2 linked regions of the Oryctolagus cuniculus genome follow. The protein of the gene in region 2 purifies or fractionates together with the protein of the main gene of each other region. This does not show direct contact. Links are inferred from orthologs where the notes say so. Each region holds a gene or a part of one and is shown on either strand. Other genes may lie near its edges.

Region 1 (4,411 bases), on a different chromosome or scaffold from region 2:
CTGCCAGCATCCCATGTGGGCGCTGGTTCAAGTACTGGCTTTTCCATTTCTGATCTAGCTCCCTGATAATGTGCCTGGGAAAGCAATGAAGGATAGCCCAAGTCCTTGGGCCCCTGCACCCACCTGGAAGACCCGGAAGAAGTTCCTGGCTCCTGGCTTCAGATGGGCTCAGCTCTGGCCATCATGGTCATTCGGGGAGTGAACCAACGGATAGAAGACCTCTCTCTGTTTCTACCTCTGTCTTTCAAATAAATAAAATAAATCTTTAAAAACTAAAGGCAGAGACACAGAGAAGCAGACAGAGGTCTTCCATCTGCTGATTTACTCCCAAGTGCCCACAACCGCTAAGTCACAGCCAGGAGCTTTGAACGCCATTTGGGTGGGTCTCCCATGTGGGTGGTAGGGGCCCCAATTCTTGAACCATCACCTGCTGCTTCCCAGGGTGCACATCAGCAGGAACTGGATTGGAAACCAAGTACTTGGGACTCAAATCAGGTGCTCTGATATGGGATGCAGGTGTTCTAAGCAGCGACTTAACCGCTAGGTGAATGTCCCCCTAAAATAGCTTGTAACCAACCTTTTCACAAAGCAAAATGAGACACTCCTCCCACCCCATAGTTGAGCAAATGATTAGACTTAAGATATTCCGGAATATTAAAGTATGCCCCAACTCCAACTATCACTGTTTTTATTATTTTGTGATATGACAAGAATTGTTTTAATGACGCTTACATTGTAAATCCTTTCCTTTCCTTTTCTATTAACGTCGAACTTGTGAGTACATATTAATCAGACTAATTATGCTGAAGATCATAAATATTAGCTGAAATAAATGGGAGTCATACCATAGCTCCAGGTATACTCTGATGTTGCTGCAGTTTGAAAAATTTACTTATGAAATCCTGTTCGGCCAAACACAGGGGCTCCAGTTCACTGAGTACCTGTTCAAAGATCTGAAGAAAACCAAAATGATCCTGTAATGAAAGAACTGTAGCAAATGCTTAATATCAGTAACCTCTATCCATGGATCTATAAACTTAATAGAACTCCAAAGACAAACTTCCAAAATTGACAAAATAACAAGATTACAGGACATACCTAAAGTAAAACAGTTACATTCACTTCAGATCTGGAAAGAAGGATATGCAGATATACTTTTAAAACTTATTTATAACACAGAGAACAGAAAAGCTATTATATCCTCTTGATTCATAGTTGCTCAAAGAATTTAGATGAGATATAAGCACTTTATGATTTACCACAAATACAGGTTAATAAGGCTTTTGTTACTGAATTGATACTTCACATTTTAGCTGCCATGTGACTAGTACTTTTTTTTAAAGATTTGCTTCAGAATTTGCAAGTAAGACATGATTATTAAAGGCAGCCAAAAGCACCAAAATTTTCAAATACTGAAGCAATCACAAAATGCAGTTATAAGAAAACTGACGCTAATGTTTAAAAACCACTTGTTGCTCTACTTTACCTTATCAAACTTGGTTCTGTCAGCAACATCGAGGTCAGAGGCAGACATGTTCCCCATATCCAACAGAGATGATGACTGAGATCTGCGATTCCCTGAACTCTGAACGCTGAGTTTATTTAGACTAGAAGTAGATCCAGTTAACTTCCCGGAACTTCCATGAAGACCTAAGAGATAATAAGACTGAAAGTCGTAATCTCCAGGAATAAACGATCCAGAGTAAAATTCAGTGCTATCTTCCACTGTTTTGGTGTTCCAGTGCACAAGGCCACCATATGGGACAGGCTGTACTGTGTACTTACCTTTCATTAACTCTGTGTCCTACTGCTGAGCATTCTGTAAAGGACAAAACTACACAGATCCACAGAATGGCACTGAAAGGGCCTCTACAGACCATGTATCTCTGCCCCACCGTAAAGGTGCGTGGTGGTATCTCTAGACTGAAGGCGGGAGGGTTTCCTTCCCAGTCAGAAGACAGAAATACAGCTGATGGGCACGGAGCACCATGGAAACCTACTAACATGACTGCTCTACCTGCCACTAAAAATCCCATATCCCAGTGTTACTTGCCTCTGTGTCAAAACAACAAGTCTATCAATACTTGATCATTTTGCTCTATACAAAAAAGTCAATTATATATGATTTGATTTAATATGTTCCTAAACCCAGAACCTCTGCATTTCCAGTAAGTGAATTAACCATAGCTCTTTTAAAACTAAATAACATGAAGAGAAAAGGGCAGCCTGAAAACCTGCTATACTTCAAATACAGTGGAAATGCCATGTACACGTCACTACCCATCAGCCCGGGCACTGGTGTTTAAGCAGGAAAAATGAGAACACAGAGCTGGACAATACCCCATGTACACCAAGGAATTAAAGGATTAAATTTTTAGAAGAAAATGTGATTGCTTTATTCAAAATGAAGTAACAACAATACATGAAATAGTTTTAAAACATTTTTCTTGAATATTTGTCAGTTAACATACCATTTACTAGTGGTCAGAAGGTTCAAATGAAGACTAATAAGGACTTGAGACAAATTTTGGCTTTATTATGCAAGATCTGACCATATATATAAGACATTTTATAATTTCTAGACACAGCCTGAAAACAGAAGTATAATGATTAAGCCTTTTCGTGAGCTTCTGACACACAGTTCTACTGGTCGTATACTTGTACCAATACTGCACATTTCTCGGATGTAGCCGTATCACTACCATCACATTGTTGTTGACTTTTCACCAATACCTGGCAATTCAGAGCAACTGATGTTTCTGGGGTTAACTTCTTTCAAGACAAGTAACTAATTTCTAGACAGTAAACAGACATGCATGGAGAACACCTACTAATACACTAAGCATACTCACTCTCTGTTTCCTGTTTGCCAGCACTTTCTTTTCGAGGCAGTGTAGCTGTGATGGATTAGGTTGCAAGCATCAAAGACAAAGACAAGTTAATAAACTGCAATTCGCACAAACCATGCACAAGAGGAAGTTAAAGCTCTAGTTTAAAAGACACATGCAAAGAACCATGAGCATCAGGTAAGGAGAGGTACAAACACACGCTGAGTTGGTCACTACTGTTTGAGAAACTGTATGAGAGAAAACGCTTCATTGGTCTTTTAATGTACTGCTTTTACTCAAATATTCAGGGAAAATATATTTGTTGCCCTCTCTCCCATATTTTTAGATGACTTTTTTTTTTTAAAAGTATGTGAAGCTGTTTCACTTACATTTAAAAGAATGAATTTGAAAGTTTGGGTTTTCTGAGAAAACATCGGTTAAATAATTTAATTCAAAGGAAACTTATTGGAATGAAGTTATTATAGATTTAGACATTAACAAACTGGTATTCCCTGAAAGCCCCTGCAAGGAAGTTCTATTACACTAAATGATTTTATATAACATCCGATTAAAAATGACACAACTGGGGCTTTAAGACCATTTTAAAATTAAAACTATCATGTTAACAACCAGAGGATGGATGGATAGAAGAGTAAAGCTAATGGAACAGATTTAATACAGGAATTTCAACTCTCTTAGGGTCATTTAGCATTTCTTTTATCTTAAGACTTCTATATATACAATATTTATTAGATCAATTTTAGAATTCACCTTAAGACACATTCTAAACTCAAATTAGAAGTTAATGTGAAAAGCGAAGAAAGAAATCATAGAATGAAACAAAATTGAAGCATGTAACTATAATCTAAAGACATCTTAAAACCAGGGTGATGTGTCAACTGACACTATCCTTGCCAAACTTCAAGGCAAAAGCCGGACGACACGTCGGGCCCTTGACAAAGCAGTGATGAGCGTATCTTCCTGGCCTTGGCTGCCTGAGGGGCACATGAGAGGCTGGACATTAAAGGGGCCAACATGGCAAACACGATCATTCTGGAGGGAGCACAGCAGAACACTTTCTGGTGGCTTGTGGTGTCACGGATTTATGTTGATCAGTTTCACTGCACAGCCTGACACATTCTTTCATACAAGCCTCATTTCTTCAGTGGCCAAACAAGAACACAGAGCTAGTCATAATGCCAGTTAACTATGATTTGGGGCTCATGAAAAGCTTATGTCTTTTATCAGCAGCAAGTGAAAATACACAGGAAAGATGTCAAATGTCTTTATGTACCCCTATCTGAGCATCAGCTTCATAGAGGGCAAGGGCTGTGCTCACTGCTGCATTCCCCGTACTACAACAGTGCCTATCACGTGACAGATAACTAGTAGATGACCGGCAAACATTGACGGAGGCAATCGTCCAGCCAGCCCTGAATTCTACCTTGCATTCAAGACTCCCTTTGGAATCAGCCAGATTTCTTAGTTTAGTGGAGAAATGATGATAACATGATTTTGGCCCACCATTTTAAAGATTTCTGAAATCTTAGACAAACAGGAGGGAAAGCAGCAATTATGTAAAG
Region 2 (4,411 bases):
TCTCTTGTACAAGGCTGAAGTCAGGAATCCACAACTCCATCCAGGAGTAGTAGGTACCCAAACACTTAAGCCATCACCTGCTACCTCTTCTCAGGGCTCACATTAGCAGGAAGTTAGAATGGGAAGCAAAGCTAGGACTAGAATCCAGGCACTCCAATATGGGATACAGGCATCTCAAGTGGCACCTTAACTATTCTATCAAATGTCTATCTCGATTTTTTTAAAAATTATTTTTATTCATTTAAAATGCAGAGACAGAGAAACAGAGAAACAGACTGACTGCCTATTGTGGTTTTAATTTGCACTTTCTCTAATGACTAAGATGTACCTTTTCTTGTGTTTATTTATCACCTGTTTATCTCCTTTGAGTGAAGTGTTTGTTTTAAATCTTTTCACATGTGTGAATATGGATGTTTAAGTGTACATATGTAAGAATGAATATCTTTGACCTACAGCCACATATACTTTTTTTCTGGACGGCTCAAACTAGCTAAAATTTTGCTGTACTATTACAAAAGAAGTGGTGATTTAGTATGGGAAATAATTATTTGAAGCAAAGCCCCCTTTACACTGTACCATAAGGCCATGTATCCATAAAATGACTCTAGATCCATAAGTCTATCTTAACTTATCTTATACTAACCATAAGCATACTGTCAGCAAACACTGTGCAATGGAATAGGGTAAAATATGGATACTATGATACAGACGCCTACATACTGGATGTCTTCTGACATAGTCATCCACTCGTTGCTTCAGCTCAACTCTGCGTGCATCGGTGAGTTCTTGGAGTCCTTGCCAAGGAGAAACTAACTTCTTTTTCTTACGGCACTTTGCGAGGAATTTAAGAGCCTGGGAGGCAAAAAAGAATATTTGTGGTTTTTCTCCACTAATAAAACATTTTTTCTTCCTAAAACATGATAGTGACACCATTGCAAGAGTTCTTATCTCTGAGTGTATGAGGAGGAAGATGGGAATGTGATAGAGGAGGGAAGATAGTGATGTTTTTAAATATACAGCTGTTCCTCAACTTACCATAGGGTTACATCCCAATAAATACATTGTTGAAAATATTCTAAGTCAAAAATGCTTTTAATACACCTAACTTACCTAATAACATGATATAGTTTTTACTGAATGGATATTGCTTTCACATAAATTTTAAGTCAGGGACCATTTGTATAGAGTAGTATTTTGTTTTTAAATTTTTATTCATTTGAGAGAGATGGGGAGATGGACTGGGAGGAAGAGCATGCAAACAAGCTCCCATGTACTGGCTCACTCTCTGAAAGCTTGTAACAGCTCCTGCCAGGTGCTGAAGCCAAGCCAGGAACTCTGCAGATTTCCCATGTGGCTTCCTGAGTCATCACTACTGCCTCCCAAAATGCACATGAGCAGGAAGCTGGAATCTGAAGCAGAGTCAAGACCTAAACTCATGTTTAGGTCTCCAATATGATATGAGTGTCTTAACTGCTAGGCCAAATACCTGTCCCTCTCCTTTCCTTCTATTCTTCCTTTTCCTTGATTTTTCTTTTCTGTTTCTCCTTATCTGTCTTATACCCCCTGTTTTTTGGTACCACCTCAAAATTATGATGCTTTCCTGGGAACTTCTCTCTGCTCCTAAATCAAAAAAGCCTCTGTGCCCTCTCTCTTATCACTTTTCATCATACTTTGTCATTGTAGGACTCTGAAATTTCATTTATCTCCTGATTTGTATTTATTTTCTTACTGCCAATGGTTTGTTCCAGTAAGTTTTCTTGTGGTTAGTCATGGATGGACACAAATAATAGTGTTATGGTACTTTTATGCTATAATCTAGTATGAAGAATTAGCCATCATTCTGGCTTCTTCCTTTGATTTTAAGAGATGAGACAGTAAGATAAGCAAATAGTAGAACATTAAAAAGGGAAATGCAGCCATTCTTTAAATTTAATTTCAACACTGAAAGGATAGATAATTTAGAAAAGGCAAGTAATGTTATATAATAACATTTTCTCAATTTCCCAAATTTTAGTTACTGGAGAAACAATGCTGCTGCTTTCACACAAAGTAAGAGTAGGGCAAAAGGTAGGTAAAGTCTGGCTTTTATTTCTTGCTCTGTCAAAGACACTAACAACCGGTTCCTCCTGATGGACAAGTTCATGAAAAGGATATCCCTCTTCTGTAATTTTCAATGAAGTTGATGAAGTATTTCCTTTTCTTTCTTACCCAGTTCAATTTCAGTGCAAATGGAAATATAATGAAAGTTACAAATATAATTTAAAATTTTCTAGTAGCTATATAAAAAAGTAAAAAAATGAGCGAACTAATTTTTGTATATAGTGAATTATGTAAAATATCATAACAATATACATAAGTTGCTAGAATTTCAACATGTAAAAAAGTTAAGATAGTTAACATGTAAAAGTGTTAAGATAGTTTTTCCTTTTTTATACCAATTTTTAAAATCTGGTGGGTATTTAACAATTATAGCACCTATAAAGTTACATATATAACTATATATCAAGTACTCCATAGCCACATGTGCTTAAGGGCCTTTGTACATCTACAGTGCATCTTAAAGAAGAATGTTTTCAAAATATTGCATAATGTGCCCTTTACTGATATTTCTCTGCTCTAATTTCCCTACTACTTTTCTTTTTTTTCCCTCTACACTTTTCCATTTTTCTTTCTCTTTTTGAAAGTGATGCTCATTCCCTTTTCCATTTTGGCTAGCTTTGCTTTGGCTTCACTGTCATTTTAAGTAGTGAGATGCAAAGACTATAAACATGACCTTGACTCATCCCGTTTTGTTCTTACTTCAACAAAGACTTATATTCCTTTATGGGGGTTGGGAAAATATGAAGCAAACTTAACTCATCTCTTTCCTCTTGTGCCACTGAGAAGTATGAAAGCCTGAACAACACTGCCTTCATAGGCCTCATTTATTTTCCTCTGATAACCACTGCTTCTCTAAGGACTGGGAGAAAACCTGGGATCTCACCATATACTAAATGGCCCTTTACAAAGTATTAGGCAAGCTAGTACATCAACTTAATAAGGGTCAAGCTAATTCTTCGGGATGGGAGACTCAAAAGGAGGTAGCCATGAAGTAAAAGAATTAGAAGGGAGCCAAGGGTCCCTCTTGACATCATTGGGTTAATTCTTAGATGGCCTTGTTTAGCAAAGGGGATTACATGTAAGTCAGTGCAGGGCTATTTGTTGCAGATACAACCTCAGGTATCCAAAGAGGCATAAAGGAGGAGAAGGTGGAAGATATTTTTATCTCCCTAGTGTTTATTCTACTGCATTTTGGATGACTTTAAAATATCTTTATAAAAAGTTAATTACAGAGAATGTTCAAAATCTATCTTTGTGAAAAACTGAAATTGACCTTTTGTTCAACAATAAGGGAATATTAAACTTACTGCTTCAAGACCTGAGATCTTAATATGAAGCTTAACCATGTATAACAGAATAAATGGATATTAGGAGAATTGGTAATTAAATAGAAATAGGTAATTAAATGAAATAGGTAATTAAATGAAAAAAACAAAAACAAAAAACCAGTCTTGTGCTGTGCTTCTCCATGTTACTCTGCTGTGGGTAATTCCCAGGAAAATTATCACTTAACAACAATATTCCTCAATTCAATAGTTACACTGATCTAAGTATACTAATACTTAACCTATATATTTAAAAAAATTAAATATGATACGCTATACTAGCACAGGACTTTGCAATTTACAAAATATATTCCCATATATTAGGTCACCTGGTCCACATAACATCTAAGTGAAAAAGGTAGGGTAAACACCTATTAATTCATATACCAAGCACATGCTGAGAGCTGATAACAATAAATAAGACTTAGTTTCTCATCCTTGAGGAACTTGTAGCCCAGGAAAGAAAAACAACAGCACTGCAGCATGGTAAATGATGTACAAGGTTCTACCCAGTACTAAAGACCACATGTCTAAATCAGCTTGGCCAGAGGTAAGGAGCTTCTTACTCTATAAAGGAAAAATCTAAGGCTCTAGAAAGCTAAGTCACTTGAGCAAGGCAGTAAATTCCAAAGTCAGGTTTGAACCCATGCTTTTGCCTCCTAATCCAGAGCTGTTTTTACTACATCAGACTCACTGCTCTTTGAAGTGTGATGGCTGCTTTATACTCTGTGAGAAATGGCCTCTGTTGGCGAAAATTTTTCCTTTCCCTGTACCCTCTCCAGTGTTTCTGGATAATCAATGCTGCTTTCTCTTCCATTTCCCGATTGTATTTCTCCACCTCACCTAAAAAGATGACAGACACTATCACAACATATTCACTACTATGCCTTCTCAAGTTTTTAAATCAGGACAATGGTAATGATAACAATCTTGTAATCCTTTAATGCTTTCAATATTGTTTACTAATTTTCCCAATTCTATTATTT

Evidence for each region.
Region 1: the proteins of IQCB1 (region 2) and EXOC1 purify together in Homo sapiens (affinity purification with mass spectrometry; 3 studies listed by BioGRID and IntAct, counting the BioPlex papers as one, with this or other methods). This does not show direct contact. The link is inferred for Oryctolagus cuniculus from reciprocal best matches to the Homo sapiens genes IQCB1 and EXOC1.

Annotation. Positions count from the first base shown.
Region 1 is NC_091439.1:108,598,727-108,603,137, forward strand, and holds part of EXOC1 (exocyst complex component 1), read right to left. Parts: intron 2,898-4,411; coding exon 2,853-2,897; intron 1,651-2,852; coding exon 1,487-1,650; intron 954-1,486; coding exon 846-953; intron 1-845.
Region 2 is NC_091435.1:78,062,248-78,066,658, forward strand, and holds part of IQCB1 (IQ calmodulin-binding motif-containing protein 1), read right to left. Parts: intron 4,269-4,411; coding exon 4,120-4,268; intron 853-4,119; coding exon 721-852; intron 1-720. UniProt on the Homo sapiens protein: Involved in ciliogenesis. The function in an early step in cilia formation depends on its association with CEP290/NPHP6.